3 linked regions of the Struthio camelus genome follow. The protein of the gene in region 1 interacts with the protein of each later gene in a biochemical or structural test. Links are inferred from orthologs where the notes say so. Each region holds a gene or a part of one and is shown on either strand. Other genes may lie near its edges. The genes, in order: MIS18BP1, OIP5 and MIS18A.

Evidence for each region.
Region 2: the proteins of MIS18BP1 (region 1) and OIP5 form a complex in vitro, tested with the Homo sapiens proteins (2 studies listed by BioGRID). The link is inferred for Struthio camelus from reciprocal best matches to the Homo sapiens genes MIS18BP1 and OIP5.
Region 3: the proteins of MIS18BP1 (region 1) and MIS18A form a complex in vitro, tested with the Homo sapiens proteins (2 studies listed by BioGRID). The link is inferred for Struthio camelus from reciprocal best matches to the Homo sapiens genes MIS18BP1 and MIS18A.

Annotation. Positions count from the first base shown.
Region 1 is NC_090946.1:82,887,793-82,898,072, reverse strand, and holds the start of MIS18BP1 (mis18-binding protein 1), read right to left. Parts: upstream 4,205-10,280; 5' UTR 4,173-4,204; coding exon 3,584-4,172; intron 1,935-3,583; coding exon 1,812-1,934; intron 737-1,811; coding exon 228-736; intron 1-227. UniProt on the Homo sapiens protein: Required for recruitment of CENPA to centromeres and normal chromosome segregation during mitosis.
Region 2 is NC_090946.1:41,224,480-41,234,756, forward strand, and holds the start of OIP5 (protein Mis18-beta), read right to left. Parts: upstream 4,383-10,277; 5' UTR 4,368-4,382; coding exon 4,085-4,367; intron 3,851-4,084; coding exon 3,784-3,850; intron 3,203-3,783; coding exon 3,080-3,202; intron 2,528-3,079; coding exon 2,446-2,527; intron 1,582-2,445; coding exon 1,423-1,581; 3' UTR 1-1,422. Other genes in the region: NUSAP1 (nucleolar and spindle-associated protein 1), read left to right, coding at 4,748-4,840, 6,274-6,339, 7,460-7,651, 8,724-8,892, 9,949-10,047. UniProt on the Homo sapiens protein: Required for recruitment of CENPA to centromeres and normal chromosome segregation during mitosis.
Region 3 is NC_090942.1:119,786,073-119,797,200, forward strand, and holds MIS18A (protein Mis18-alpha), read right to left. Parts: upstream 4,272-11,128; 5' UTR 4,257-4,271; coding exon 4,022-4,256; intron 3,898-4,021; coding exon 3,831-3,897; intron 3,475-3,830; coding exon 3,352-3,474; intron 2,122-3,351; coding exon 2,028-2,121; intron 1,312-2,027; coding exon 1,231-1,311; 3' UTR 477-1,230; downstream 1-476. UniProt on the Homo sapiens protein: Required for recruitment of CENPA to centromeres and normal chromosome segregation during mitosis.

The sequences.
Region 1 (10,280 bases):
TGGAGAAGCATAATGAAACCAGAAGCTAACGTGCAAGCGAAGTCACGAATTTAAATTATAAAAATGCTCCGAGTAATTTAATGTTGACTTTTAGAAGACAAAGTCATTGTCCAAGACTTCTAGCAAGTCTAAACCAAAGCAAAACCAAAAACCACTGCTGTGAGCTACAAGCAGCCTACAGGAAGTTTTAGCATATCTAATGCCCCTAGAATAGTAAGTTCTCCCACCTCTTTGTTTCCCTTGCCAGCCATTGTATCTGTATGAGATGTATCCAAAGGGACCTTAGAGCCTTCTTTTTGTTTTTGCTTCCTTGGTATGTGGACTTTAGGAGAAGAGAGCATAATACTACATAAGCATTGTGAGGGTTTTTGAGAATTAGTCTCCAGTAGCTTTTCTCCTCCACGAGCAGCTTGTTGATTACTTGTCCGCAACTGTCTTCTTTCTTGATGAACGTTAGTACATTTTGTTTCTCCATGTCCACACCTTTCTTCTAACTGATCCTCACTTTCAGAAGGGGGGGAATTTCCATTCACAGTATTAGTCATTGTATTTTGAGACATTTCATCATCAGCATCAATTGATTCCATGAGGAAATTATCCTGATTATCCTTATTAGCGGCCACATACTCTGTATTAGCATTGTTGAGCTGCTCAGTAAAAGCAGATTTGACTAATGGCTTTTCTGCAGCTGCGGAAGGAGGAACATTTTCCTTGACTGAGTTTGAAAACGTTGGATCTGCACATAAAAAACAAACCAACCCCAAAAAACACAGAGCAATTAAAGATACCGGAAGAACAGTAAAAATATACTTATACAATTTAATTCCACTTTAATATGAGTAAATTGCTATTGATTAACATACTATAACAACTCCAAAAACACTGCCTATTTCAACTGTTAACAGAAAGCCATTTCTCTGGATTTGTTTGAACTAGCTTTTCCCCATCACGAGTGCCATATTCCTGCTACCGAAGACTGTTTTAACCATTCCCCTTTCCCCAAAAACTATGCTAATGCACACCACTCCTATTAATACTAAAGCTTTGCCGTTCTTCCTACTCTTTTTTAAAATGAATCTTCCCCGAAGAGCAAAAAGCAGAATGTTTTCACAAAAAAAAACCCTAAGTCTAGAATATTTCCTTTTTCCCAGATGTCAATATTTGACTTCTAATCACGTTGCTGCTATACTGGGAGCTACAAGCACCGTTTTTTGAGCGTTCAGCTAATTAAAGTTCAGTTTTTAAAGTGGAACACCACTAAGATTTTGGCATGGATCTTTTTCTCTTCATTTGCCTATTACGGGCAGAATTATAGGAGGACAGAAGTGTTCACAAGGTTATCATCAAGGGGAAAACAAACAAACAAAGAAATACAAAGGAACTTCTCATGGAACTAAATCTTTTCACTTTATGTATTAAAAGCTAGGGGATAAAAAGAACCAGTAATAAGAGGTTTAGTATTTTTCCACCTAATTCCCATCCAAATACTAAAATGTTACATTTAGTCTCTAAAGAGCTCTTAATCACAACACCAGGAGCCCAGAGTTAAAAGACAGTCAGGGGACATAGTGTACTCAGAAGGACTAATTGCTTCAGGGTCAGCAGCCAATAGTCCTAATCCAAAGTTTAAACGTCTAATGTCATCTCCAGGTCCCAAGACAGACTTGCAGGTCTCTCGCTGTTTTCAGCTGTGCACAGACTACAGTGGAAGAGGAAGAATGATACTCTGACAAAGCACACAAGCTATTACAAAACGGAAACCCTCAACTCAAGGAAGTTTTGGAAATGTTATTAAGAGCAACATCAACTACCTTTCTGCTGCTGCAATTTCTGTTTCACGCGCAAGAAGAACTTATGGGGAGATTCCAGTACAAAAGGGTCTACTGCTAACAATTTAGCAGTTCTGTTTTGAGGAATCCGGGTGCAAGGTAATTCTGGAAAAAAAAAAAACCCTCTGAATTTGTGAAGAAAAATATTTATTTTCATGCAAGGGAAGAAAAAAAGCAAAATACATATTTCATAAGATACTAAACTCCAGTATACTAACTATTTGTTCAGGAAATATCTGTCCTGAGAAGGATGAGCAATAAGACCTTTCCCTTTTCACAGCAAACTAGCCATCATGTTGCATCAGCTGCTGCACATGAAAAAACACACCCTCAAAATCCCATGTATGTACACATGCCATGGTTGTAACCTAACCCAGAGGAGTCGGAAAGTATATACAAAAGGGATATTTCTTTGTATTAAGGTGTAACACCTAAGACTTTTGCTTACTGTGAAAACAGCAGCTTAATCTCGTTTTTATCATATCCAATAAGGATAGTAAAAGTAACAAGGGGTTTAAGTTGCAGCAAGGAGATTTAGGAAGACTTTTTAAAATCTAATCATAAAAGTAGGGAAATAAAATCTCCCTAATAGCATGTTCTTTCGAGAACAGACCAGATGCACCCCCAGTGAGAACAGCTAACTTGCAGCAGACACTGCTACTGGCCAGATAAAGCAGACGGACCACTCAGCTTACTTTTCTGCAATTACGCTTTAAAACAAACACTGACAAACCAGATAGGAACCTCCTGTAGAAAACTTTTATCCAGGTTTGGGTCAGGGGGTTGAGACCTAAGTACTGCACTTCAAAAAAAAGCCTCCCATCCAAATAGTTCATGACTATTTCTGCATCATACGATACACAGCAGGTGTTAGAAGTATAGGCTTTTTTTTTTTTTTAAACTAAAATAAGACTAAATGTTCCATTCCCAATGCTGCAGCATCACAGGAATATATGCAGCAAGGAAGCATAACCTTTGTGATGAAATACTCAATATTTCCACGGGTCTCCCATTCTGGATGATTACAGTACGGGAACAGCTGGGCACCACCACAAGACACCTTCCCTCTGCAAAATACCTCTAATACCTTTACAGCTCTGTTGTGAGACAAAAGGAAGACCTTCCTGCTGGCCTACAGCAGCTAGCGTACCTTCCTTGGGAAGGGGCGCAGTGCTTGCAAGCTCGTGTTACATCGAGTAGTCAGAATTGGAAAATACATTGAAAAAGCTGTTGGAACAGGGAGGCAAGCGGATTTCCCTAGGGTCTCAAAAACAAGACAACGCTCCTGCCAACCTCTCCCCTTTCTACACTGGCTGCAGGAAGCAATGAGAGTCATCTCTTGCTTTACTTACAAAGCGTAATTCTCTGCTTTACCAACTGCTGCTAAGTGTCAATCCCATCCCCACACACAGCAAGAAAAATTAAAAGCCAGACTGAGTAAGAAAAGGAGAAAAATACCACGGGAGACATTCCTCTAAGGTAAAGGGCGGGGGGAATCAAAGTATGATACAAATATGCTTTAGCACAGAAAAAAACACCATCCAAACATGTTTTTTTTTTTTTTTCCAATTCTGGACAGATCGGGGGGAGGGGGAGTTTTGCCACCAAGAATTTCCCATCTATGAACACACGCTGGAAAAGGGCCGCGATGAACGCGCAGTGCAACTCGCACCTAAACGGATACTAAAGATGAGGCGGGTGTTGTTCATGTGACAGTAAGTAAAGGGTTTCTGGGGGGGTACGGCGGCACAAACCTCTCTCCGGCGGGATGCGTCCCGCGGGCACCTGCCCGGCTCTCTGCCGCCCCTCTGCCGCCGCCGGTTTCGCCTCCCTCCGCCCCTGCCCGGCGGGGTTTTGGGCAGGGCTCAGGATGAAGTCGGGGCGGCCGCTGCCGAGCGGGAGCGCGGCGTCCCGCGGCGGCCGCGACGCCCTGGCCTTCATGCGCTGGAAGACCTTGGCGGGCGACTCGTGGGCCGGCGGCTCGCCCGCCCGCCGCTTCAGCAGCGCCGGGGCCCGCGGCGGCTCGGCGCAGGCCAGCGGCGGCGGCAGCCCCGCCTCGGGCTCGGGGCCGCCCCAGATCTCGCTGAGCTCCAGCAGGTCCGCGCCGCCGCCGCCCGCCAGCAGCGTGGACTGGAAGACGCCGTCGGCCGCCGGCCACCCGGCGCGGCCCTCGGGCTCGGCGGCGGCCGCCGCCAGCGGGGCCTGGCACCTCAGCAGGTCCTTCAGCGGCGTCAGCGTGCCCGCGGGGATGCTGCTGAGGAACGCCGACTGGAAGGGCATGACGCCCCGGCGGCAGGCGGTGGCCGGGCCGCCCGCGGCGCTTCTGCTGGGCGTAACGATCATCGCCGCTGCCGCGGGGGACCCGCCGCCGCCGCCTCAAGCCCCGCGCGCCGCCGCCGCCGCCGCCTCAGCCGCGCGCTGCCCCCTCGCCTCCCGCCCCCCCCCCCGCGCGCGCCCCGCTCGCCTCAGCCCCGCGCGCCGCTGCCGAGCCCGCCACACAGTTGTTAGAAGATTTGAGCGCGGCCGGCTCGCGCGGATTGGCGGCCAGGGCGGGTAGCGTCACAGTGACGCGAGCGGGGAAGGCGGGAACATAGGCAGTTGGGGGGGGCGGTGTTGGCCGCCGGAAGTTGCAGAGAGCATATTGTGGGGTGGGGCAGTGCCGTATTCCCTCATGTTCCCCCCCCTTCCTCCCCCGCTTCTCCGTACGGGGTGGGTCGGCCCGCCCCCAGCCCTGAGGGGAGGGCGCGCGGCAGTGGAGGAGCCGTTGGCGCTGAGGGGAGGGCGCGCGGCGCCGGAGGAGGAGCCGTTGGCGCTGAGGGGAGGGCGCGCGGCGCCGGTGGAGGAGCCGTTGGCGCTGAGGGGAGGGCGGCGGGGAAACGGCCCGGGCGGGGGATACCGCGGCCGGCGGTACCGCTGCTGCCCCGAAGATACTTGCGCGGCCTTTCGGCCGGGTTGCTAAAGAGCAAACTGTGTACATCAAGGAAATAAGTGATTCCTGCCGTAGCAATCAGCATTACCTGAGCGAGCCAGTGAGGAGAAGGTGGCAAATCTGCGGCCACTTCACAGGTCAGCCCAGGCCGCTTGGAATGGGACGGCGGAATGGAGAGAGGGTGCCCCAATGGTTCCCAAAACTAACCGGCAGTCGTGAGGACCGAGCAGAGGGGAGGAAGGCAGAGCGTAGCCCAGGAGGTCTGTCTAGGCAGAGGCAGCATGCTGTTGTGTTCCTTGCTCTCACCTGTAGGTAAACTAAAAATAGGAAAAAGGAATAAAATGAGTTGAATATCAGATGTTAGCAGTTTTAAGAGTTTTATCTACTTCTAGGTGCTAGCTTGAAAAGTGACACTGAGCTGTAACTGCCTTTAGATTTTCAAAGACAGTGATAAGACCAGTATATAACCCTTAGCTTAAGCAGGATATGCAGTTTCTTACAGCTCTGAAAGTTAGACAAGCTATTGTCTGTGTCTTGGCTAAGAGGTTAAGTGGTCGATTTTCATACTTAAAGTGGGAAAGGAGGGAAGTTATTTGTGTAATGCGTGGAACAGAGATTAGCACTTTTACTCATCAGGCTGGGCTCACCTAGCTAATGAGGGAGCACAGTGAATAGCTTGTAAAATCGGGTGTTTCTGTCATTTAGATTAGCCTAAACAGCTGGACTTGGAAGTTCAGTTTTGGGTACCTCGATGTTCACTATAACTGATCAAATGCCTGTTAGCACATAGTAGCTACATTTAAAAAAAAAACCCGCTTTCTATTTGTGCTGGATATTTTGTGTTCTGTTTGGAATTTTGCAACTTAAATTTTTTTTTGTAATTAAATTTTGTGGGCTTCTTACAGAAATATGTACACTAATTAATGTCCCAGATTATATCACGGACAAAGATTCTGTGCTTGCTTCTACCCTAAATTTCTAAGAATTTATGTGCAGAGGAAAAATAAATATCCAGATACAGAGTTGTCAGTGCTAAGAATCAAAAGTGGGTGTCTGGGGAGTGGGGTCATCACTTACACAGGAAATAGCAAGAAGCTTGTTTTGCAAGAATAGGCTGTTTGGCCTTGAAGTCTCTTGATGAGTAGTTCTTAGTATCTGAGTTATCCCGTTAATGAAGACACACTGTGTTTACTACAGAGATAGGAATCTGTGAGCCAGTGAACTGGGCAAGTACTGCCTAGTACATAGTGGCATGAAGACATTAAAAATGAGAGGCACAGTGCAAGAGTTTTAGAAGAAGGAGGTATTTTGTTGCAGAAGGCACCTTTACAGTCTAAGCTAGCTCTTCTGGATTCTGCAGTCCAGGGAGCCTTGACGCCCTGTACTGTTCATTCTGTGATCATCTGCGGAGCCAGGATCTCCCGGTGAAGTAATTAAGCTGGTAGTGGTGAATGGGAGGGAAGATTAGAGAAAGCAATGGGGAAGATGAAAGAAGGACTTGAAAAAGTTGAAGCAGGAATAGTTTTTTTTTTTAAAAAAAAAAAAAGATATGCTTCCATTTTATGTTTTTACATGTCTGCTTGTGATCTGTATGTGATTGACTGTCCATACAGCTGGCTTGGTCTAACCAAATGTAACACTGGTAAATGCATAGAACAATCTATTTAAAACACTGTGGTGATACCATCTTCCAATGGTTTGTATTGCATATTGCACTGTATTGATTTGGCTCCTCTTAAAAGGCAAAAAACCTGCATGACTTACAGCTTAGTCCTTATCCTTAAGAATATTTTATTGCTGCTAGAGTTCCTTAAATACTTACCAGATGAGCTTTTCCCTAAAAGTAATCAAAAGCAGAGGAAATTTGCTTTTATTTGGTTGTTAGCAGAAGTCATCATACTTTTTCTTCCTTTCAGAAAAAACAGTAGGATCCACAGGAAGTCAAATGGTAGTTTCTTCTTAGTAAAAGATAAGTTTGTAAGATTTGGGCAGTTAGTTTAGAAATCTCTAGATGCTCCTACATATTATAAATGTAGTTAATAGGGTAAAGCAAGTCACCTTTTGTAGATACTAACAAACTCTACTGGAGCTGCCTAAATAACATATCTTGAATACTTTTTAAGCTTATTTTCTGTGTGGTTTTTTTTTAATTCTATAAAGGAGAGAATTGGCTGATTGTATAGAAAAGAAAAAGGAGAGAACTGGTTGATTATATAGAGAAGAAAGAATAATCCAGACTAACTGCAGAAAGCTGTTAAGCTAAAGAGTGAATTAGTTTGCTGATTTTATTTGGCTTGAGTGACTTCAGGTGGTGCCTATAATTGGAATAGCAGCTGTGTGCACAGGAGAGCTGACTCTTGCATGGAGCAGGATACATCTGGAAGTAAGAAGTTCTTTAGCTCAAGGCCACATTTCTAAAGTGAAAGCTACTTTGATAGCCTTACCAGGTCTTTGTGCTTTGGACACAAAAAGAGACAGAAGTATTTTCTTGATTAGAATGACTCCAATTAAATCTCAGCAGTTATAAGAAAAGACCTGAAAAGTCAAGTCCTGACCCTGCAGTTGATTCTCTTTGGGCAGACTTTACCGATAACACTAAAAGTCTCTCTGGAAAAAGGATTCATCATAGGGCAGATCATCATGCCATTATAAAGGGATTTCCAAGATAGTTTTTTTCATACTCATGCCTCTTTTTAGTTTCCATGGAGATGCAGACCAAACTGATGAACTTAGGAGACTGTTTACACGTTTGAGTAGGGTACTTGACCAATGGACTCGCTTCTGTTATGTACCATAGACTCCTTAGAGCTGATCCATAGACCACTAAGATCCTAGGTACCTGTATGGGAAGAAATGCTGTGCATGCCTGAAAAATTCCTAAATGTACTTCTCCTATCTAGTCTCCTGTGGTCTCTTTGGCCACAGCTGGCAAAGCTATTTTGGCTTTGCAAAAAGCAAGCCAAAAGTCTGGATCCTAAGAATGGATGTAAAGTCCAGTAATCTTGGTGCCAGATCTGTAGTTGTGTGGTCAAACTGTGAAAAAGTTTGCGTGGTGTTTGGCTTAGATGTGCATGCTTTCTGACGACTTCTTTTTCTTTTTTTTTTTTTCTTTTTCTTTTCCCAAAATGGGTTTCTCTTTTATATGGGGTCCTTCTAAATAGATAGTAAACAGATCTTGTGGTCAGTGAAGCAATTCTGTGTTGCCATATAGTGATAAGTATAGGGGTGTAAGAATAAGTGTCTGGAGTCCTCTGAGAAGTTCAGTCTTATTTCAGTCTGACAGTCACTCTTTTGTATAATGTTTTTGTCCTGGAGAGATACCTAACACATGAAAGACCAAGGAGACAGCACAGATTCTGTTGTTCTCTGCAACACCTATGAGAGAATGCCAAATGCTCTGCGCTCCAAAAAGAAGGCTCCAATGGGAGAAACAGGGCAAAGTGAGGGAGCTTGTTCAAAATTAAATTTCCATTACTGTATCCTATTTAGCCAAGATAGATTACTGTTGATAATTAAAGAAACGCCTTCTGGCCCTCAGAGTTTCCATTCTGATTCCTATAGTTATTGTGAAACTTTACAAAGAAGCTTAGTCTTTTATTGTTACTTTCCTTTCTGGAGCTATTTTTTCTGATAGCTTGGTAATTAGAATGATCATATCTACACATCTGCCTAACTAACTGTTATGTAACTTAATAGCATCACCCTAACAGCACTTTACTTTTTTTGTTTGTTTATTTCTTAAATGAAAGGCATACTAGCATTTCTGGGAGAAAACTAATTGTTGTCTTAGTTTTCTATACTTTTTATCATAGAGTTTATTCTTCAGATTTTTGTTATCTTAAATCAGTTACTTGTGCAGCTGAAAAAACTACAGCTTCCTTTGTTTGGGGTACAGAACTAAATATTCATACCATTATGTTTCTATACATATATGGATATAAAGGATGGTTTATTACCGACTTTAAGATCTAGAAAATACAGAATGATCTTCATTAAACATGGTTAAACCATTAATTTGTTTGATTTCTGCTGCATATTACTGGGTGATGATATTGCATCTCTAGCCTATGTTTTATTTTCCTGCTCCCTTCCTAGGGTGATCTCAGTGCATTCAACAAATCGGAGCTACAGTAAGGCTGTAAGCTGTAGGATCTTTGCCTCAGCTTATTTCTATTTCCGGAAAGTTGGAAGGTATTCAGTGAACTAATAGTTCTAGAAGACAAAAATGATCTTCTGCTTAGGCAGGCCCATGTTTCCTGGGAGAACTATGTGCTGCCTCCCATCTGCTTTTGACAGAACTCAGCACGTGTCCTAAAGCAGTATTTTCATGGGCAGATTCTTACAAGGAATATTCAGTTTTCTAAGAGCCTGATTATTAAAAATCCGAAATACTTCTGAGATCTGCTAAAGTCAGCTGCAAAGGGCAAAGCTGCAGGAATGGTGTGGTCTTGGGTAACTAAAATGTGGCTACATGTTCATTCACGCCCATGTAACGGGTAGCAACTCATACATTTCTGGTATGCCAGTGCTATTTCTTGGTGTGTGTTTTCATGAATGTTGCAGTGGTGCTGGGAGAACCATATTTATTGTTGGAATTACTGAAGTATGTCTTGCTGAGAAATTTTGGGTTAAGTGGCCCAATTGGTCAGGTATTTCCTTGTATAGCATGATTGTTCTCCATGGCACCAGGAAGCACAGAAAGCCAGAACCCGATGAGCATGCATTAGCAGACAACCTGTCACGCAAAAAAACCTGTTTTCCGCATTTTCCGGTCTTTATTCATACTGATAACATTGCATTTCTGCACCCCTTATCTAACACTTTTGTTGCTCAGGCAATTAATTGCTGTTGTGCTTATGCATCTGTCTTTGGGTTTTATTTTCATTACCATAACAAAAAAATAGTATGTCAGCTATAGCACTAGAGCAGCAAGAACCTGTGCCAATCACTTGCTGCAGCTGCCAGAAGAGTGGTGATAACTGGATATCATCTTGCTGTGGAAAAGCTAGTGCCTTGCCATCTGCTGTCTTGGAAAGTACGTGGCTGACCATCCCCCCTCGTGTGGCCAAAGAGCGCTCAGTCCTGCAGTGGCTAAGCATTGTCAGTGCCAAGCTCAGAAGAGAGATTGCTCCTGTAAATGAAGTTTTTTCTTAAGCAGTGAAACAGATGGTGAAGCTTTTTCCCAGACTGCTAACTGTGGCTGAGGATTCCCTCCAGCCTAAGGGTTTGCCTGAAGTGCTTCAACTTCTCACACACCTCCAGAAACAGCACTTGAAAATGTCCCTAAATCCCTCAGGAAGAGGCATAGTGATGCAAGTTCTACGTTCTCCTTCCCCCCACACCCCCCACCATCCTTGCTGTTATGGTCCTTGAATGCTTTTGTACTGATGAGGCTTGCTTGCTCGCAAAGGTTGTATATGCTCTGTGTGCTGGGGAAGGGTTCTTCCTGGGAAAACTGCATTATCTTATACTGTTTCCCAAAGCTAGGGAAATTTTCTCTTCCCTCTTCAGATGAGAAGACC
Region 2 (10,277 bases), about 42 Mb from region 1:
TTCGAACAAACTTCGAGAGCACCCAGAACCATTAACCAAAAAGCATTGGTTACATTGTACATAAGTAGCAGGATAAGTACCAACCAGTTGCCCGTCTAAACTCCTGGGGTGCCTTGCAGTGAGTTTCATCCCCTCCAGTCAATTATAACAGTTATTTTACAAATACATCAAAACAACTGAGACCATGCTACAATCTGCCATTCATATGTGGAAACAGAAGTAGAGGAGGGCAAATCACATCACCAGAATTAAGTCAATCAAGTAAATACATTCCTCTCTAGAGTATTACAGGCAGTCATTAAGCTTAATGGAAGCTTTAAAACATCAAACTTTTAGGCAGCAGGAGGGAGAAGAAAAGGACCCTTAATCTTCCAGCTAATGGGAATTAAGGACTAAGATGTTCTGTCGCAATAAGAAGGGATAAGTAGCATTCTTTCCTCTCCATCAAATGAGTTTCTAGATGTTTGGAGAGGAGCAGAACCTATTCAAAACTAACAGAAACGCTGATGAGTACCCTTCGGCTATTTTTTTGTGAAACATCTTGACTGGCCAAGGGAAGGCAGCAGGTGGACTATCACAGCTTCAGCAGAGCGGTGTTCCCATGACTGAGCAGAAAGGAAGGGAGGAGAAAAGAGCATTCCTTGGTTTCATGGCTTCAACCCCAGAGATGGGCTCAAATCTATTAAAAGCAGTTGCCCACGGTCTGAGGTTGACAAAGCAGACGGAATCTGACCCAGCTCAGTGCAGCCATGGAGTTGCTCTTCCAGAGGACTTGGCAGGCACTTGAATTGTGCTTGAATTTGTAATGCAAAACCTTGTGCTCCAAGCAGCAACGTGCCTTCCATTCCCATGCTTTGAGCATGCCGTGCAGCTTCTATGACATGCTAGCTGGCCTCTTTTGCAGGCCACATACCTAAGTAAAAAAGAACTATCAGGACACCATTTAGCAGTGCCTCTCATACCTGATGCAGCTAACAAGCCTCTTGATCAACAACTAGCTACCGTAAACATTGTAACTATATGAAAAGGTAAGACAAAAAATTGTAGACCTCTGTAAGAAGGTTTAATTAATAATGGCTCCTCTTGTGTATCACCTTATTAGTATGTTTCATATAGTCCCTAAAAGCTGAGTTCAGCTTTCTGAAGGCTGCTTTTTTCCCCTAAAGTTGTTGGGAGAACCACAGCCGTGGGTCTGCTGCCTCAGAGAGTACTGTGCTGCATGGGTGAGCTATTAATTTTTCACAGCATAGCTTCAGGATGGTCCCCCTAGATTGAAGAGATGCACTTTAGCATAAGTTCTTTCTATACGCACATAAAGTAAAAGATTAAGTCTCTGACCTTTTTTTGTGCATTGTTTCATCATAATGAACAAACCCCGCAGAGATGTAGAAACGACTCCAGTAGTTCTTTTAAAAAGGCATATTATTTGTTCATCTTGACTACTGCATATCCTGGCATGAGACCAGCTGCATCTGATGCAGTGCTCTGCTTTTCTGCCACGTTATTCTGTTGGTTCAATTCCTCTAGCTTCTTCATCAGCAATTCTAGGCGCATGTGGACCACCACAAGTTTTTCTTTTAGCTAGAAAAAAGATAAATAAAAAAAAATACCATTGTCCTAACATCAGGTCCTTGCAAGATGTGTACCCCACTTTAAGTAGTTAAAAAGCAGCTGACTTTCAAGATGGAAAATGAAACTGGACTCTGTTGTATCACTAGTGTCTAATACGACATATCTCTATACCCTATGCTTAGTACAGCCAAAACTAGCACCCAAATCAGAAGCTTCCGTTACACATATAAGATGAATGTGTGTCAGCAGAAGCCCTTTCAGGGATGCATGGAAATTTTCCACTTAAGTAAGCAGCCAGAGCTGCTGAAGCCTTAGTATGACCAACATAACATTTCCCGGTTAACTCATTACAACTTTTACAAAGCCAGAGACCTATTTTGACAAGATCTGGACAGACTGTTTCATCTTTGCTTAGGGGTACACCTAAATATACTCATCTGTTATGTTACGTTTCACTCAGGATAGCGTATGTGCTTTGAAGGGAGCATAAAGAAGGGAGTGAGGAAACAGATGACAAACACATAAAAATGAAGTATAGATTTCTCTGGGTTTCTCTTTTCAAGAGGCAGAAAAATCCCTTCTTCTCTCTTGATGACATTCAGGTACCACAAAAATATACATACTCATTACAGGGTAACACACTTGTCAGAAAGTTAGCTAGAACTTTTTATGTTTTGCAGATAAGTTGTTACGGAAAATGTTTTGTATGTTCCGCACGTGTATCATAGCTACATTACAATCCAATATCTTCTACATCATCTGCACTTAAAAACAAACAAGCAAAAAAAAAAAAAAACAATATTTTTGGACTGATCTCTAAAAAAAAATTTGGCATTTTTTGCATTTTACATACAAAGTCATGTAGAACCTTACTTTTCCGAGTTCTTCCTTTAGGCTCAAAGCAGGAAAATTTACCTTAGAGGCTTCTATTATCATTTTAGTTTTTAAGAGATAACTGGAAGACAAGCAGGGAAAGGGGAAAGACAAGAAAAACAGTTTTAAAAAACATGGTTGTATTAATTGTTTAGACAGACTATTTAAGATGATTTTAAGGAGATCGTATAACTGCTGTCAAAAGTAGTCAATATATTATGAAAATATTTAAAACATAACAATAGTTTTACTTTCAAATCATAAGATCTCTCATCATCAACTAAAAGTAATTTATAGTTTCTATAATCAAGTCTTCAATCTAGCACAGAACCGTTTTGATACGTTACTTAAGTGGATCTGGAAGTAAAGTTGATCTCATACTGCAAGCACTTAAATTTAATCCTTGAAATTACATGAGGATACTTAAAAATGTAAGCCAAATCAAATGGAATTGTGCCAACATGAGCAATTTAAATAGAAAGAATATTAAAACCCATGCACCAATGCATTCAAAAGTAAAACAGCTTCTGTTAGCTGTAGATTAATTATACTAATAACTAACTATCTGATTAAAACAGAATCACTTACAAACTCCTGTGAAGTCATTTACCATTAAAAAAAACAGCATATTCACCAGAGGATGCTGTCCTTGAAGAAACAGAAGAAGCCTCGGAGATAAGCCAGATCACTGAAAGTAGAATACAGAATGAAGCCCACAATCAAGCCACATGAACGACAGGATAATGCATTGAAAGTGCTGAAAGGAGAAAGGGGAAAATAGTATGTTTAAACAGAAGCTTCTGAAACCATAGATACTGCCTGCTAATCAGAGGACATCAGGTTATTAGTTTTACCAGAAGAGCAAACAAAGTGCATAATATTACTTTTCTATATATGTGTTATATATATGCTCGTATATATAAAATTTATATTTTATATAAATAAAATATATAATTTATATATTAATTTAGATGATATATGCTTAAAAGGCAGGAGCAGGAGGAAAAAAAAGGGTAAAAGGCTATAGGCTACCTTTTACTGCATTGCTCAAACATTCCTCTCTCTCCGTTAACAAGGGTAAATGCTGACAAAACTTCTTCTGATTTTGATAAGAATTAAAGCTACACATATACAAAAGAATTTTCAGTTCAAAGTTATGAAGTACAGGTCCAAAAATCACTTAGGACTTTATCAATTCCACGAGACATCTCAGTGCCCCAGCTAGAAAACGTGCAGGAACTCTTTCCCTCTGACTTTGGGGAGGCCTATTTTGGTCCACCTATTTCATCTGATGACTAAAACTTGATGTCAAAAGCAAGAGGTACGTCCGTTACCTACCAGCCTAGGAGGGCTCCTTCAAGGCCGATCATTAGCGACTCTTCCCAAGCAACCTCATTTGTGACTTCTACGAAGAAAGGCAGAGCCAGTGAACAACCCCAGAGCAACGGCCGGTCGCCCCAGCGCCCCCCAGCACGGCAGGCGACGCAGAGCCCCGCCGAGGCGCACAACGGGCCTCTTTCTAACGCGGGGCTGGAAGTTTCCGCTCCGGTATTAAAACCTGCATTAGTAAAAGCTTATGGCCCTGTCCCGCCAGCCCGGACACCCCTCGCTCCGCAGCCCCGGCCCCGGCAGCACTGACTGAAGCAGGCGAGAAGCCCGAGGCGCCGCTCCTCCTGCGCGCACAGGTGCAGCGAGTCCCCCAGCACGGCCCGGCAGCCGCGGCACTGGAACACCGCCCACTCCTCCGGCCGCAGCCTCCGCCGCCGCGCCGCCTCCGCCGAGCCCGCAGCCGGCGGCGGCTGGGCCGGCGGCGGCTGGACCCGCGCCGGTGCGGGGGGGGGCGGCGGCGGCCGCTCCACGGTGATGACCCCGCCGAGCTGCGGGTCCTGGAACAGCTCCTGCAGCCGCCGCCTCACCGCCATCTTCTCCCGCCCTGCGTTCGAGAGCGGCACCCGCCTTCTCGGCCTCCCCATTGGAGCGTGGGACACAGCTCTGCGTTGCCACTGGGCGAGAGACAAGTCAATCCTCCTCGCCTGAGACCATTGGGCAATCAGGCAGGCGGGGGCAGGGTTTCCCCTTACCGGGAGCGCCTATCGCCTTTGAAACAAACACGATCCCTGTGGCCGGGCCGCTATTGGTGGTTACCTTGCCCGCGGGCCCGTCCCCTTCGCTCCGATCAGCCAGTGGGAGGGCGCGGCGGGCCAGTTCGAACGGCGGGGGCGGGGCAAGGCGCCGTGTCAGTTGAGCGCGAGATTCGAAAGGCGGCGGTTGGGGCTTGCCGGCGGGCGGTGGTCGCGCCGCCATGGCGCTCTCTTCGTTGCAGCAGCTGGACTCGCTGAAGTACATCGAGCTCCAGCGGATAGCGAAGGCCGCCGGCCTGAAGGCCAACCTCCGGGTGAGGCGGCGCGGCGGCTGCCCGGCCGCGATGCAGCGAGCGGCGCCGCGGCGCGGGGCTGGCGGGAGCTCCGGGCTGCCCGCTCTGGCGGGCGGGCTCGGCTCGGCTCGGCTCGGCTCGGCTCGCCTCCGGCGCTGCCCCTGCGCTCGGCCGGGAGCTCTAGGGCGGCGCCGGGGGGAGCGAGGGGCCCGGCGGAGCCGAGCGGGAGCGGCGGGAGTGTGGGCGGGCGGGCGGGCGTCGTGGGGGTCGAGTGCCCCCGGCGGCCCCGCGGTCGTTGTTCTGCTTTCGGCCGCTGCGATGAGAAAACCTGCGGTCTGGAGGTGGTGTCGGCAGAGGCGCGGCTCGGGCCTGGGGCGTGGAGCCGGCAGTTTGATAGTTTGACGCTTAAGCGTTCCTTACCGCCTTCAGTTAGGGGCGTGAGACTGTAGACGAAGCTGAGAAGGCGGGGCTCCCTTCTTCCCGGGCCCCCGACCGCCCCGCGTCCGGGCTGCGCTGGCGCGTGGAGCCCCGCCGTGCCCGCGCTGCCCCCGCCGCGCCGGCCGTACCCGCCGACGCGGGCGTTTCATCCGACTGGGGCTGGGAAGAGTGGTAACCACGGGGAGCCTGAAGGGTCGAGAGTGATTATTTTTTACTTACCGATAGGAATTAAGAACAAGGAGTTAAAGCATGTGCCCATCTGTTTTGCCTAGGGCCCTACGGGTATATGACAGTGACCCAGCCTGGCCTGATCTTGGCAGGTACCGCTGGTAAATCCCTCAGCAGAAGTCAGACCCGCACCACCAGTGCGAGAAGGCGTACAGCCTTTAAAAACAGACAGAGGGAAACCCCAGATGCACCACTTATGTGGTAATTTGGATCAAGGATTAATTGTCCTCACAGGACTGAGGCTTCTGCTTGGGGTTTTGGTTCTCTGTTACTTTGTGTGTAACTTCTAGTTCAGAACTGATTTTATGCTGACCTTTCCAGTTAAAGTCTTTTATTCATAGATTAAAACATCGATGGTGTGTCTTTTTTTATTATTATTCTATGTGAATATACAGAAGGGATGAGGAGAATGCTTTCCATATAGTATTGTGTGAAATGGGAAAAAGTTATTAGAGAAGTTGGGTGCAATGTTATTAGCATTCAGTTAGGCTGCTGAAATAGTTTCTTTTATCCTAGAACAATCGACCTTTCTGGACAATAGCTAGACCAGAAGAAATCTGGTCGGGGAAATCTCTCTTTGTATGCTACATATTTAGCCTGGGCCTTAAGTATGTTCTCAAATCTGACTGACTTTAATGAGGCTTCAAGCATGCTTTAAGAGTTCTATTTTATTGGATTCAGCAAGTGCTTTGCTAGTTTGGACTGATTTTTAGGGTGCTTATAGGGTTTGTGCAAGTGTCTGATGACTTAATATAATCTTTAGTTCATATGTTTTGATTTCTCTGCAGGCAGACAAATTGTTGAAAGCACTGAAGCAACATTTTCATGGAGCAAAACAAGAAAATGAAAATATGGTAATAATGAGAAATTAGCTATTCTCTTTAAGAAAGATAAATCTAACTTTGTAACTAGTAAAGTATGGCATGTAGTGAATGTCGCATTTAACATGGTGCAAACTGTAACAAAAAATATATTTTTTTTAAACAGTGTTCAGTATACTTGCATACTGATTGAAATAGATGTGTTGATATTAGCTTTAAAGTGGTTGTGTGTATGACTGAAGGCTGATTTTTTTTATTTTTTCCCCCCACCCCCTCATGCCAAAAACAGCAGTGTATTTTTTCAGTGTAAGCACAAAATTATCCCCTGTGAACGCTAACACTTCAATTTCCATTGACCAAATCTTAATTTTTGCCTCTTTAGCTCCAAGTGCTAGTCAATACTAAATATAAAAATGCCTAGATGAGGGAGGGACTGGGTATTCATCTCAAAGCATTCTCCATTTACTACAGTTTACTTACTGATGTTATAAGAGAAGAGAACCTTTCCTTTAATCATCTCTTAATATGTTATTTTCTTGATTTTTTTTTTTTTTTCCTAAAGCTTTCCCTTTTGTAAGTATTTCATTGAGTATGGAATGTTTATACATTTTTTGACAAAAGTAAATTAGAATCTATTTAAAACACACCATATATTTTAAATGCTTCCTTTATAATCTGCTTCTTTTAAAATATGGAGAGCTTGTGTAATCCTTGTCAGTTTATTTTTAATTTTATCAAGCTTCGACGCATGAGTAACAACTTGAATATATTACATATTTTTCCAACATCTGATTACAGTCTGGTATGATAAGTGTGGAAGAATGCTGTTGTTGTATCTCTCTCTTTTTTTTTTTAAGGTTATTCCATAGGAATGTAAAAACTTGGCAGATCACAGCATCATGCAAGTCAAATTTCCAATATAAACTATTAGGTTTTTTTAAATGTCTTTGTAGAATATTGTGCATATAATGAAACAACTGTAGGTTTTCTGTCTCAGTCTTCCAATAATCAGCTTGCTATTTAAGGAAACCTAGATATCACTCATTCATTGCTGTGCTACTAAAGACCACGCCTTTTCCGATAATAACGCTGAGGCTGTCTCTTTGTAGTATATGTCAGATATGTTTCATATGATGATACTTATCTGATATAGGACTCTGAAGAAAGTGCATCTGCTTCCATCGAATTGGATGAACAGAACAGTCAGGAGGAACTTATGCCTGATCCAGTGTGTTTTATCACAAAAAGGCGTGGAAAAGAAAAGAAAGCAACCAGAAAAAAAAACAATTCCAATGAGGAAACTAACAGCAGTGAAGACAATACAGGGCATTCTGCTGAGAAAGAGGTGATTTACGTTTCTTGGGTTTGAGTGTCTGCCCCGTCCTCCCTCCGCTAAACACATGTAGTGAAGCATAAGTTAAACGGAGTTGATTCATTTTACCAGTGTTTAACAGGTAACATTCACTTTTTGGTATGCAGACCTACTAGTGTTATTGGTCTTCTGTGCTTTATAGCTCTGTTTTTGTCCAATTTGACTATACACTACTCCAAAATGAACATATAATTTGTTCTTTTTGTACATTTTTTTGGGGGGGAGGGAATATTATTGAAGAAAAAGATCAAATAAAGACTGTATCATTCAAATTATTTTATCAGAATATAAGACTATTTTCATTGGTTCATCATAGTATTCACGAGATTGTTAGGCAAGTTTTGAAACTTATCTAAAATCAGGCTGTTTTCACTTTCCTGTATAGTAAAAATTCACAGAAACTCTGTGATTGCCTTTTCATATGAATTCCTTTTTCTATTAAAAGGTAACTCTTAGATTATTTTCTGAAGAACTATACATAGAGACAGACTAACTACAAGGCAGATTAATTGCTCTGGTGGGCTGGAGGTTTCCCATTCCTCTCAATTTCAAAGTATGTGGGGCGAGTGTCTTGGTGTGTTCGGCTGGTTGTTTTCTCCTCTCTCCCCCCCCCCCCCCCCCTTTTTTCTTTTTAATATGTATTGGTTGTATGACTGAGGGAGAGGAGGTTTTCAAGGTGAGGTGGGGATAAAACTTTTTTCTTCTCCCCTCTAAAATCACATGCAAGTAGAGGGAGAACTAAGACAGAACTTTATGAAAGACTTTTACTGGTGTAAAGGTGGAAGAATGAGAATAAGAGAAATCATTTTTTAGGTGAAAATTTCTCAAAATGTCTGAGTAAGCAAAAGCCTACAGTAACCACAGCTACAGTAGTAAAAAGTGACATGGTCAGTGAATTTATGTTTTGCCAACAAAATCAATTTAATATTAAAGTGCTTTATAATTCAGGTTGGATTTCAGAAAATCTCTTGTCTGTCCTGTGGAAAATGTTTTCCTTATGTCCAGTTGAAAAAATCTGCCTAACCGAAGTATGTTTAAACCACAGGAGCATTCAGAAATGAAAGAAAACAAAGTGCCACAGCATGAAAAGGGACAGAAAGTATTCCAAAACGATAAATCAGTAACTAAAAAGAGAGCTATAGAGAATCCAGCGATGGGTATGGGGCAGAAAGAGCAACCAGAGAAGATTTCCACTAAGAGAAGTGGAGTGGAATGTAAGTAAAAACTTCCAACAGAGTAAGTTTAGTCATTCGTACTAATTAAAATAATCAAAAAGTGCATTTGATTGTGTCCACAAAGATTTTTGTGGAATGTCTGGTGATCTGATGGACCAACAGTACTTGAGTAAGGATACTTGAACAGAATCTGTGTAATTTAGGCTTATGTACTTGTTTGCTTATCGTATTGTAAAGCAAGTTCACACAGTCAGCAGTATAGCCGTTCTGCTGGATTTGACTTGAGAACTGCGGTCCTGTTGTTGATTGGTTTTAGTGAAGGAGTTCTCAAAGATCTGAGCGTATTTGAGTCTTGCACCTTGTTTAGGATCAGTGCCTTTAGGAATACCACTGATACGCTACTCAGCCCCTTTGGAACGAGGCAAGAAATGGAGAACTTTCTTCCTCGCACTTCATCTTTCTTTTCCTACTTACTGAACTCAATCTGAAGTCTGTAGTTGACTTTTTAAAATGAAATACAATTAAGTACTAAATAAGAAAATAAATTTAATACTATACTTAAAAACATAGGTAGAGACAAGATTAAACAGAAGCTGACCTGAGGGCAGAAATGATAAAAAGAACTCTACTCTGTGTATATTTAAGGCAGCAGCTGAAAAGTTTGCTAAAAAGTGTTTGTTCTGTCAGGTATCAAAATTTAAAAATTGCTAGCTTATTAAGCAGTTAAAGATCTTCTCTGCATTTAAAGTTGTGACAAGCAGTTTTCTTGCTAATTTGTATAAATTTATGTGAAATAAGAGAAGTAATAATTCAAAATAAAATAACCTAGCTTGAACTGCAGATTCACGTTAAGCTTGTAGTTCACCAAGACATGTCATTATTGACATACACCATTTAAAAGACTTTCAAAAGACTGAGGACAAATTCATTCTAGTTGACCTTTTATTTCTCAAAGGAAAGAGATACTTTGAGGAGAGGAGATATACTTTAGAACGCATGCTTCTTGCGTTTCAAGTAGCTTTTCAAAACGGGCTTTAATTACGCTAAATTAATGTCCAGTAGTCCTAACCACCTTGCCTAACCTCTCTGCCCTAGGTGATGCTCTTCTAGCTCATCCCGCAGGAGGGAAGATCCCTTTATATGTAGGCCGTGCATCTAAGTCTGGGAAAACGGGAACAAAAGCTACCACACCGAGTAAGATACCTACCATCTCTATAAATAGATGTATTGTTTGTGTCTGAAGAGAGACTTGCCCCACAATTTTTATGGATCAAACTTCTCTTTTCACTTAATTTGAAAAAAGAAAATACCCTCTCTTTAAAACAACCAAACCTCCAGAAAGTTGCATTGAGAATTTTATTTTCCAATAGTTTTTTGTATATTTATGGTAGTAAATGACTTTTGTGCCTAGTTTAAAAGTGGTT
Region 3 (11,128 bases), on another chromosome or scaffold:
GTTAACACTCCCAACAAGAACACACTTCAAGTTCTTATGAAATGAAAGCACCAGCCAATCTTCAATTAAAGGGCAGAACAGAGTTAGCACATCTTGCATTCAGGCATCCAGGATTAAGTCTGTATCACATAGCAGCATTCAGGAAAAAACCAAGCCACCTCCAGAAGACAGCTTCTAGTTTGATTTGAAAGGTATGCACCAATCTTTCAAAGGAATTCTTATAAGCAATCAGCAAAATGTTTTAGTTTGGACAAAGATAAACTTATCATCAGAGGCCAAAACAAATGCTACTTCAAACCAAAACAGTAGATAGGGAAAAGAAGATAGATACTTTTTTGGGGGGCTGTTTATCAGTGGCTGAAGAACAAGGGAAAACACATTACAGGTTTTAGGACAAAACTTAAGAACGCAAGAGTAAAATTAAATCATGTTGAGTAATAGAAAAAACCCTTTTCAAAATGATTCTCACCTTAGACTATTGTTTTCCTTGTTTTATTGAAAAAAATCACTTGCAACATATACATTTAGGAAATCCTGATAGTTAGACAAATACAGATTTAGTAGATCCAAATCAAATAGAGATATCTACACTGAAACAAAATTTTGACAAGTGTTCTTAATTTATGTTTTCAGTTCATCATTTAAACATACACCAAGCTTTGCTTAAAGGTGTACAGCTATCAGTCTTGTTTATTTTCCTCCTCTTGAAGCTCTGTTATGCATATAATCTTCTTTACAATTATACATTTTAGCTTTGAGCTGGCAGAAAGCAGTTGTGTTGTTCTTGTCCAGGAAGAAAAGGCTGTGAAGATAAGATGGCAGAAGAGACTTACGTTGCTTCTTCAACAAAAGTCACAGGTTTTTATTGCCTTAGGGAAGATAAGCAAACCCAGTTCAGTGAACAGTGGATAGCTAGGAAACCAGGAGAGAAATATTTTGCTTTCACATAAAAGTTTAAATATTTACATATAAACAGAAAGTCTTCACAAAGCAGTTTAAAAAAAAAAGAGACAAAACCCCCTATTTCCCTTTCTGGGGTACTCTTATCAGAGGAGAGCAACTTCTTGCCTATGGTGAAGACTTTCAGTCAGGCTTGCTCTATTGCAGTATGAGCCACCTGAGTCTTAGCTCTTTGCACGGCTTTCACAATGTTCCTGTAGATTCCAGAGGATTACAGGTGCAAGATTCATTACATCATTCTCCAGCAGTTAATTTAGATGCAGAAGTTTTTCAGACATTATTATGAAGAGAAGCAAAACTTGATTCAACTACAGTCAGCCTCGCCTCCAGTGCCTTTAGTATGGTGTCTGCCTATAAAGTAAATAAGGAAAGATACTTGGTACTTCACAAAACAAAGAGCAAGCACTTTCTGACATGTATGCTAGAAGTCAATCATGTGTTATCAATCCTATTGGATTCTTTTCCCACTATCTGCACAGTCTAAAAGTTCAGTCAATTCTAATATGACCTCTCAGCACTCTCTAGAGTCTGCTATAGCTGTCCTCTCACTTTGAAGCAAGAATTCCACACATTCAGCTTCTGCTATACAAATGGCAGCTTTCAGGGCTAATCTGGTTATCGTATGTGCTCTCAGCTCTCCCTATCCACAGTCAGGAGACTTCTAGAGGAAAGTATCCACTCATATTTATTATGCAATACTTCAATACAGAACAGCAGCAAAAGCAGTGAATCCGTTTACATGAAGGATAGGATTCTACAGAAAAAATTTGATTAAATCAGTCTTTAAAAAAAAAACTGGAGAAGCAAAACAAAGCTACAAGAGGCAAGCAATGGTTCAGACTTCTGACAGAGATAGGAATCTATAGCTGTATTTGACAAATAGAAATGCTTCTTAAAATTATAATCAAAGTCTTACCTAACACAAAATACTAACAGCATGAGTGTCACAGAGTACAGTAAAAATGCACAGAATTGGGTCCAATTGAGACTATAGCTTGTTTTGTAGAAACTAAGGATATGAAGATTCATCTGAGGTACACAACAAGCGATGTAAGATTAAACCTTACCCTTTCTAGTGCTTCTTCCAAAACAGCTCGACTCTCAAGAGTTACAGGCTCCTCATCAGTAAGAGCTTGCTTTTCCGAGGATCCTAGAACGTAACTGATATGCTACAGTTTAGATCATGCACTTTCTGCTCTGAATGCAAAAACAAACATAACTCATTCATTGTTCTCAGTGATTACAAGACTATGATTAATAAGTTACCAAAGCAAGAGCATGATTCAGCAACAAAATCCATACTTAGAATCTTGCAAACAAACTATAAAATGGAATTAAAGCAATTTTAAGCTCAGAACTACTAAGATACCATCACTGTATAACAGTTGGAACTCCAAAAGACAATCATGAGTTCTGATGCTACAGCGTAAGGTGAAGAGTTATTCCAACATTGAGGAGACTGTTGTACTAGCCGGAACAACCAGTCATCACCATTATTGCCTACCCTCCCACGCCCCAAAAAGACATTTTGGGACCATGGTACAATCTTTCAGAGAGCTTTACTGCCATGGAAGAGGCAAAGCAAAAACCCACCATTGCCTGAAAGAGGGAAGAGAACATCAATACAGATGCAACAAAATACACTGGAACTTAATAAAAAGCAGAAATGCTAAACTTAGTCCCAGGGAGAAATAAAGGTGAATTATCCAAACATTAACAAAGTAAGAGCAATAGAAGCACCCCGGTACGTAGACTTAAAGTATTCACTAACTTCATCCTGAATTAAGACCTGCTTCAAGTGCAATAAACCAAATAAAACCAATACAACGGCACATCTTCAGTTTCTAGACAATCGAGTATAAAAAAGTTTGTGCACCGTAAGAGAACTGCAGAACAGATACTAAGAACCTCAATTACACAATGAGTGTCAGGATTCACTTTCACCTTTTTTCACACCTAGACAGGTTAAATTCTACTTCAGGCCCTGTGCCTATCTTTTCTTCTGATAATACTTACTTCTAGTAGCTTTAAGTTAGGCCTATTCAGTACTATTTGAGAGAATAAGGTAGTTTTATGCCAGCTGGAGTAGAGCATCTACATACTCTTTTGATCAGACTAGAAGTAACGCCCATATTGCTTACCTAGTGTTACTTCTGTGCTTGGTATGCAGTTTCTTATACAAGAGAAGACCCTGGTATTTCTATTTTTCTAATGTTTTTTTCTAGTATTACACAGATGACATTTCTATGACTTCAACAGTACAATGCTGGCAGCAGTAACACAAAAAATTACCCTGGAAAGAGATAACTACCTCTAGATATTCCAGTAAAACTAACAGCAGCAATCCATATAAATGATACCTAGAGGCATCCCTAAAAATGCTACCTTTACCTTTCAATGGAGTCAACACTGAAGCAGAACAAGTCTCTCTTGTAGTCAAGATGCTTTGGTGTGCACCTGTAGACATTGCCAAGTATCATTGAGCAGCCAGAGCAGGACAAAGTTTCAACCATGCTGTAAGGAAAACATACAGCATTTATTCAAAGGGGAGGGGGCTTTCCCCACACCTATTCAAAAACAATTCACCTGCTTGTGATCTTCAGAGGATTCACTCTCAAATGCCACACTGTAACTACGAACATTTATCTTCCAGCCAAGGTTCCCAAAGCAGACCCTCAGCCCGATGACCTCAGCAAGACTAAGAGGTAAACTTTAGACAGGCCACCTGGAGGAGCTGCTCTAGGCCAAGGCCCCCCGGCCTTCCTCAGGGACGGCGGGGTGGCAGCACCCGACGAGCCGCTCACCGGGCCCCTCCTCGGCACCTTCCCCCGCCCCGAGCCGCCCACCCCCGCCGCGACACCGGGCCTCACCATCCGCACTCGCCGGGCCGCTTGGAGAGCTTCTGCTCCTTGTCCACCGAGACGCTGGCAGACGCATCTGCGCGCAGGTGGGGAGGGAAGAGGGACCAGCGGTCACCAACGGCCGCCCCCAACGGCCGCCGCCTCGCGCGCGCGGCGGGGGGGGGGGGGGGGGGGGAGGGAGGGGGCAGGGCAGGACTCACTGCGCAGCAGGATGCAGCCCGCCTCCTCGTCGTTGGTCACCCAGCTCAGCGTGTCGCCCACCGGCCGCTTGCAGCCGGCGCACAGGAACACCATGGGCAGCAGGTCCTCGTCCGCCCCGCGGCCGCCCGGCCCCGCCTCGGCCGCCGCCTCCCGCGCGCCGTCCGCCTCCAGCAGCGACAGGGAGGAGTCGGGCCCCGCCGCGGCGCCCGGCGGCGCGTACAGCGCGCCCGCCATCGCCTTCAAGCGGCCCGCGCCGGAAGCGGCAGTGACGCCGCCCCAAGAGCCGAGGCGGCCGCCCCGCCCCCGCCCCCGCCCCCCACCCTCCCCGGCTCCCGCCCCGCCCGCGCGTGAACCCCGCCCACACGGCGCCCCGCATGCGCGGCCCCGCCCTCTCCCCCTGGGCGCGCTCAGGCAGCCCCCACCCCCACCGCCGCCCTGTTGCGGCCGTTGGCGCCGCTAACGGTCGCGGCGGGCGGCTGGCGGGCGGTCGTCGCCGTTGCTGCTGCCCTCAGCTAGCCAGGCCTGCTGTCCTCGGCCTCAAGATACGTCGAGAGGCACGTTGGGAGGGGCCTGAATGCTCTAGTGACGGGGAGGCGAAGCAAAAAGGCTTGCTGCGGGTTTGGAAGGCCGCTGGTTTTGTCCAGTCTGCCGCATTTTGTTGCTCGCGGTTCAAGTGATGCCCCAGTGTGCTCCCCACTGTAGAGGGGTGCCGAGAGGCCCGATGTGCCTCCGTGCCGCCCGCCAATCCAGGGACTGGGCCTGGGTGAGCAGCCCTGACTTGCCTAGCCCTGACTTACCCTGTAGCTTTTAGGAATGCAGGTAAAAGTTCACTGAGGATCTGTTTCTCTTTTAAAGTGAGAAATTTTGCTAACTTTGATGAAGCAAGTATACGTGTGTGTTTGCGTAGACACTGACAGTGCCGTGGGCCGAATGCACAGGGCAGTTCGACTACCTTTGTCTTGACTGGGAGACTATTTCTCCATCCATTGCTTTTGGGTGGGGGAGGGGAATAAAAAAGTGCCAAAGCAAAATATATGGTTATTTCAATACATTCTTTATATCAGAAGTATTTTACCAGTTCTTACCTGCTTTTTAGGTCAGCGGAAATTCAGAAATTTCTTTCAGCTCAGCTATTTTCAGTGGGTCCAGAATATGTTTCCTTGTTGCTAGTTTCTCCCATGGTTGGAACGCAGTTGGCCTGTGTCCATGCCATTCTTAGTTTACTTTATATCCATCTCAGTTAAAATATTCTGAGGAATAACATAATTGCCCGCCAGGAAGAGAGGATTGTATTTAAAGGCTGCTGTTACATATCTGTCCTACATTAATGTTCCTTTCTGCTAAATGTTTTTTATTATCAAGGCAGTCCTTGAGCTGCAGGACTCCAGAGTGATTTACATAGGCATCAGTTATGCAATCTCTTTCTGAGGGCGCTGAAGTACAATGAAGCAAAGTATTTGGTTGGAGTTCTGAGCTGATTTAAAATGCACTACTGAAATGGCTAACAGAACAAACTCATCGGAGTATTTTTGGTCTTATGAATATTATTGGGATTATATAGATCCAATTCCAGTAGATGGAAGGAAGTTGAAGGTTAATAAATGTAAGTATTGTAGAGTGGTAGATGCTGATCTACTACAGGAAAAATGAGTTGGCAAAATATTGCATAGTCTCTCTGACTTACTTTTTTCCTTGTAATAGATACCATGCTAGCTTATTTGTACGTGGTTTGAATGGATGAGTGTCTGTGTTCCAAACTATCTTAACTTACGTACTGATAGCAATTTCTACTTATACTGAAGCTATTTGATTTATTTTACGGTATTTCAAACTGTAAGACTGCTGACATTAACTCTGATTTAGAGGACGGATTTTTTTTTTTTTGACCATTTGCTAAGTAGAGATCTAATGACATGCAAATCAGTATTTTGGGGTGTTCTTTATCTGCATGCTACCATCAGAAAAGATGACGGAATGAACAGATTTGTTCATAAGACTATAGTGTTTTCCTCTTGGAACATAAAGCTTATGCTAGAACTGATTTAAACACCGTTAGAGCCTTGATAAGAGAATAAGTTTATGCTTTCACCAGCCAGGAACAGCAAACTGAAAACATATTCTATTACTTTTTTCCCTTTGAGCTTTTATTTGGCATCCATCTCTAAGCAATCCTATTGATTTTTGTACTAAACCAAAAATAATGTATGAGAAAAGCTATGATTTAGTACTCCTGAACTGTAAGACAATGTAATAATACACATTATTGTCCACATACATTATGATCATGGAAACAGACTCTGCGGGTTTTAAAAGTTTATTTTCAATGGATATGAAATAACATTCACCGAATCCAGTCATATTAACAAAGTATCGGACTGTTAATTCTGTTGCATGCTTGGTTTTACACAAGGACATAGTGATGTCTTTTTTGGTTACTTAACAGGGAAGGTCGATTTCTTTCCTCTTGTAATTGCATTGGTTTGATTTTGATAAGATAAAATGACAATTCATGTCATGAGGGATTAATGTAACCCAATATAATTGGACAGAGTTACAATGATCTAGGGAGAGCGGGCAGGCATATCTGAGTCACTCAGGCTATAGGCAGTATCTCCCTCCCATTTCTGCCAAGTCTCTATCTATGGTATCCATCAAACAGCTATGGACATTGCTGGTTGCTATGTAGTTTACCAAAGACTCTGATTACCCAGGTGTGGTTTCACGGACCAAAATAGCTTTGAACAAGGTCATTACAGTGATCTAGTCTGTAAGGAGTACAGGATACTCTGCCAGAACATTGTCATGTCTTTGTAATTAACAGTGCCAGAAACTGCCTTGTTGACAGTGAAGACTGAACCGGACAGTACAGGAACGACCGTTCATACCATCCACTTGGGGCATCTAGCTTAGGTGCCTGTGCTGGTAGCTTGGTGTCTTTGACCTTGCTGTATCGTCAGCGGAAACACTTATTTCACGTTGCCTGTGGAAAAGCTCTGTTTCCACTGAAAGGATATGTGGCAAGGGACACATCTGGCAAGGGGTGTCAAGGACAACAAGAAGGGGTTCTTCAAATACATCAATAGCAAAAGGAAGACTAGGGAAAATGTGGGCCCGCTGCTGAATGGGGCGGGTGCCCTGATAACAAAGGATATAGAGAAGGCAGAGTTATTGAATGCCGCCTTTGCTTCAGTCTTTACTGCTGAGGCCATTCCTCAGGAATTCCAGACCCTGGGGACAAGAGAGAAGTCTGGAGAAGGGAAGACTCTCCTTGGTTGAGGAGGATCAGGTTAGAGATCATTTAGGCAAGCTTGACATCCACAAATCCATGGGCCCCGATGGGATGCACCCCTGAGTGCTGAGGGAGCTAGCGGATGTCATTGCTAGGCCACTCTCCATCATCTTTGAAAGGTCATGGCAATCAGGAGAGGTGACTGAGGACTGGAAGAAAGCCAATGTCACTCCAGCCTTCAAAAAGGACAAGAAGGAGGAGCCAAGGAGCTAAAGGCCAGTCAGCCTCACCTCCATCCCTGGAAAGGTGATGGAGCAGCTCATCCGGGAGACCATTTCCAAGCACATGAAGGACAAGAAGGTGATCAGGAGTAGTCAGCATGGATTCACCAAAGGGAAATCATGCTTGACCAACCGTATAGCCTTCTGCGATGGGATGACTGGCTGGGTAGATGAGGGGAGAGCAGTGGATGTTGTCTCCCTGGACTTCAGCAAGGCTTTTGACACTGTCTCGCATCACATCCTCGTAGGCAAGCTCAGGAAGTGAGAGCTGGATGAGTGGACAGTGAGGTGGACTGAGAACTGGCTGGGTGGCAGAGCTCAGAGGGTTGTGGTCAGTGGTGCAGAGTCTAGTTGGAGGCCTGTAGCTAGGGGTCAGTCCTGGGTCCAGTCTTGTTCAGTGTATTCATCAGTGACCTGGATGAAGGGACAGAGGGCCTCCTCAGCAGGTTTGCTGATGATACTAAACTGGGAGGAGTGGCTGACACACCAGAAGGCTGTGCTGCCATTCAGAGGGACCTGGGCAGGCTGGGAGAGGTGGGCGGAGAGGAACCTCCTGAAATTCAACAAAGGCAAGTGCAGGGTCCTGCACCTGGGGAGGAATAACCCCAGGCACCAGGACTGATTGGGGGCTGACCTGCTGGAGAGCAGCTCTGTGGAGAAGCACCTGGGAGCCCTGGCGGACAACAAGTTAAGCATGAGCCAGCCATGTGCCCCTGTGGCCAAGAAAGCCAATGGTATCCTGGGGTGCATGAGGAAGAGTGCTGCCAGCAGGTGGAGGGAGGTGATCCTCTGCCTCTACTCAGCCCTGGTGAGGCCTCACCTGGAGTACTGTGTCCAGTTCTGGGCTCCCCAGTACAAGAGAGACATGGCGCTACTGGAGAGAGTCCAGCGGAGGGCTACAAAAATATTTAGGGGACTGGAGCGTCTCTCCTCTGAGGAAAGGCTGAGAGAGCTGGGCCTCTTCAGCCTGGAGAAGAGAAGACTGAGAGGTGACCTCATCAACGTGTACAAGTGTCTGAAGGGGGAGTGTCAAGAGGATGGGGCCAGACTCTTCTCCGTGGTGCCCAGCGACAGGACGAGAGGCAACGGGCACAAACTGAACCATGGGAAGTTCGCTCTGTGAGGGAACAGAGCACTGGTGCAGTTGTGCAGTCTCCTTCCCTGGACATATTCAAAAGCCGTCTGGACACAATCCTGGGTAATGTGCTGTAGGTGACCCTACTTGAGCAGGGGGTTGGACTAGATGATCTCCAGAGGTCCCTTCCAACCTCAACCATTCTGTGATTCTGTGATTCTATGATATGTTGCCTCCAAACTTAGGAACCTACAGTAAGATGCCTTAGAGAAGGTGGTATAAATATCCACCCCTGTCCATGTGTAAAATCTGCTCTTGAATGCTGAATAGAGCAACATCTGGTGCTGTTGGGAACAGGCAAGTTTTGAGCAGCTTTACACCACTTCCCTAATTGTCTTAATTTTAAAGATGGCAGGGCAGATAGTTGCCCCCTAATTCCACCAGGGGAACTCTGAACTGCTGAGTTAAGCTAGCTGCATGCTGTTGGCTTCTCACAAAGAGGGCTCGGGAATCTGACCTTTCACTTTTTTTCCCAGTAATAGAATCTTTCTTACATTTGGATTCCCTGATATCTAATAGGGGTGGAGTTTGTGTTAAAGCATTTCCCTCCGTGGCCATTTATAGGATATTTCTGTCTACCCAGCTGCCTGTTTTCTTGAAACTGTTAGAAATCATATTTCTGTGAGAAAATGTTCCCTCTCTGTTAAATTTAATTGATATTTACTAATAGTTCCATGGAGGAAATTCCCACATGTACATAGTGCATGCACACACAGTGATGTCATAAGCCTTATTTCCCTAAGAAAGTAGAATATACCAGTCTCTTGTTGATTTTTTTCTGTATTTGCTTTCTCTTCTTCCCCTAAAGAAGGAGAGAAGTCTACCTTCTTTCAGACCTTTTTATTTTCTAAAGAGGTTACTTATGTGATCATACTTTGTGTTTATGCATCTAATCTGCTCCTCCAACAACTTTAGCTTGTTTATCTGCTAACAAAGGAGTGGGAGCCTCAAAGATGTAAAACATCCACAAGTTCTGTGCAGCAGGTGGTTAGATAGAGGAGGAAGAACATTGCTGGCAAAGACCTTTACTGACAAAAAGGCTGCAGGGTGAGCACATCCCCTGTTAGACACCAAGGAAACCACCTTTGGGCTCAGATTTGGGAAACAAATCTGCAGGAAACCAGACTTCTGTGCTTCAGCTGCTCATCTCCCGAGCAAAGAACAACAATAAAGATGCAAGAATAGGGTTCAAGATTTTTTTCCCCCCCTCCTCAGCAGGGTACTGTTAAGGCAATCTGTGTCCCCTGGGGCTGCAGTTTGTGTAACATATTTCTAGGCAGCTTGTTAAAATAGAGTTTTGCTCCATGATTTATGTCTTTTAAAAAACCCACATTGGCTATATTAAATGCTCAGCTAAAAATGTTGGGCTTGGTTTTCTGATAATTAGGGAAGTGAAACTGTTTTTTTTTTTTTTTGCTTCATATAAAAATAGACATTTTTCCATGTCAGCAGTCTAGGAGGAATGGAGGCTGTGCCATCTTAGTACATTTTTTCTTCCTTCTCCAAATGCCAATGGGGAACAGTGATTTCAAGTTATAAAGAAAACACTAAGAGAATTGATTCCATAGTTGGTTAGTTTGCTTACTTGCTTTAAATACAAAGACTAGTCAGGTAAAGAATTTACTTTGTAGATTTTCCTGTATTTATATAAAATTTATATTTTTACACTTTCACAAGCCACTGTTACTGTCTTCTTGTGCTTGGAACTATGTAAACAAAGTATTTTCAGCAAGTCCTTGCCCTGTGTGCTGAAGATGAACTGTGATAATTTCCCCTTAGACAGAGGCTTAGATAGCCACAAACATTCCAAGTTTGGCAAAATGTTTGATATCTCCAGGGCTAAAACAACTGCTGAATTGAAGTTCCAGAGGGCCTCTGCCAGACTGAGTGCAAAGGGGTTTCAGCTTTTGTTTAGGGGTATTGCTGACTTGGCCCAAATAAATCATACATTCATCAGAACCCCTTATATGGCTCCTTAATTCAATTTTGCCTGATTTTTTTTGTCCTGAATCTCTGCACTTTCTGTTATGTGGCCTGTCCCTGAAACATTGTAAGACTGTGTTCTTATCATGAAAATGAATCTAATTCCAGCTATAAAGTCATGTTGCTTGCTTTCTATTAATAGCATTGAGCAGCTCCATCCATTTTGTGTAAAAATAATAAAAAGTGAAATCAGCCCATGAACTCATAGGCTATTTAAACACACACACACACACACACACACACACACACACACACACACACACACACACACACACACACACACACACACACACACACACACAAGTTCAGCAATAGAAAAGTTTTTTTTAAATAGATTGTTAAAATACATTATCTCACTTTAAAAAATTGTTAATTGTAAGACTGTAAAAACAGCCAGGAAGTTTCTGTTTAATCCCTCAAGAGTTCAAACTCCCCTCAAGAATTCAAACTCCCCTTGAGATCTGTAGCAGTTTTAGTT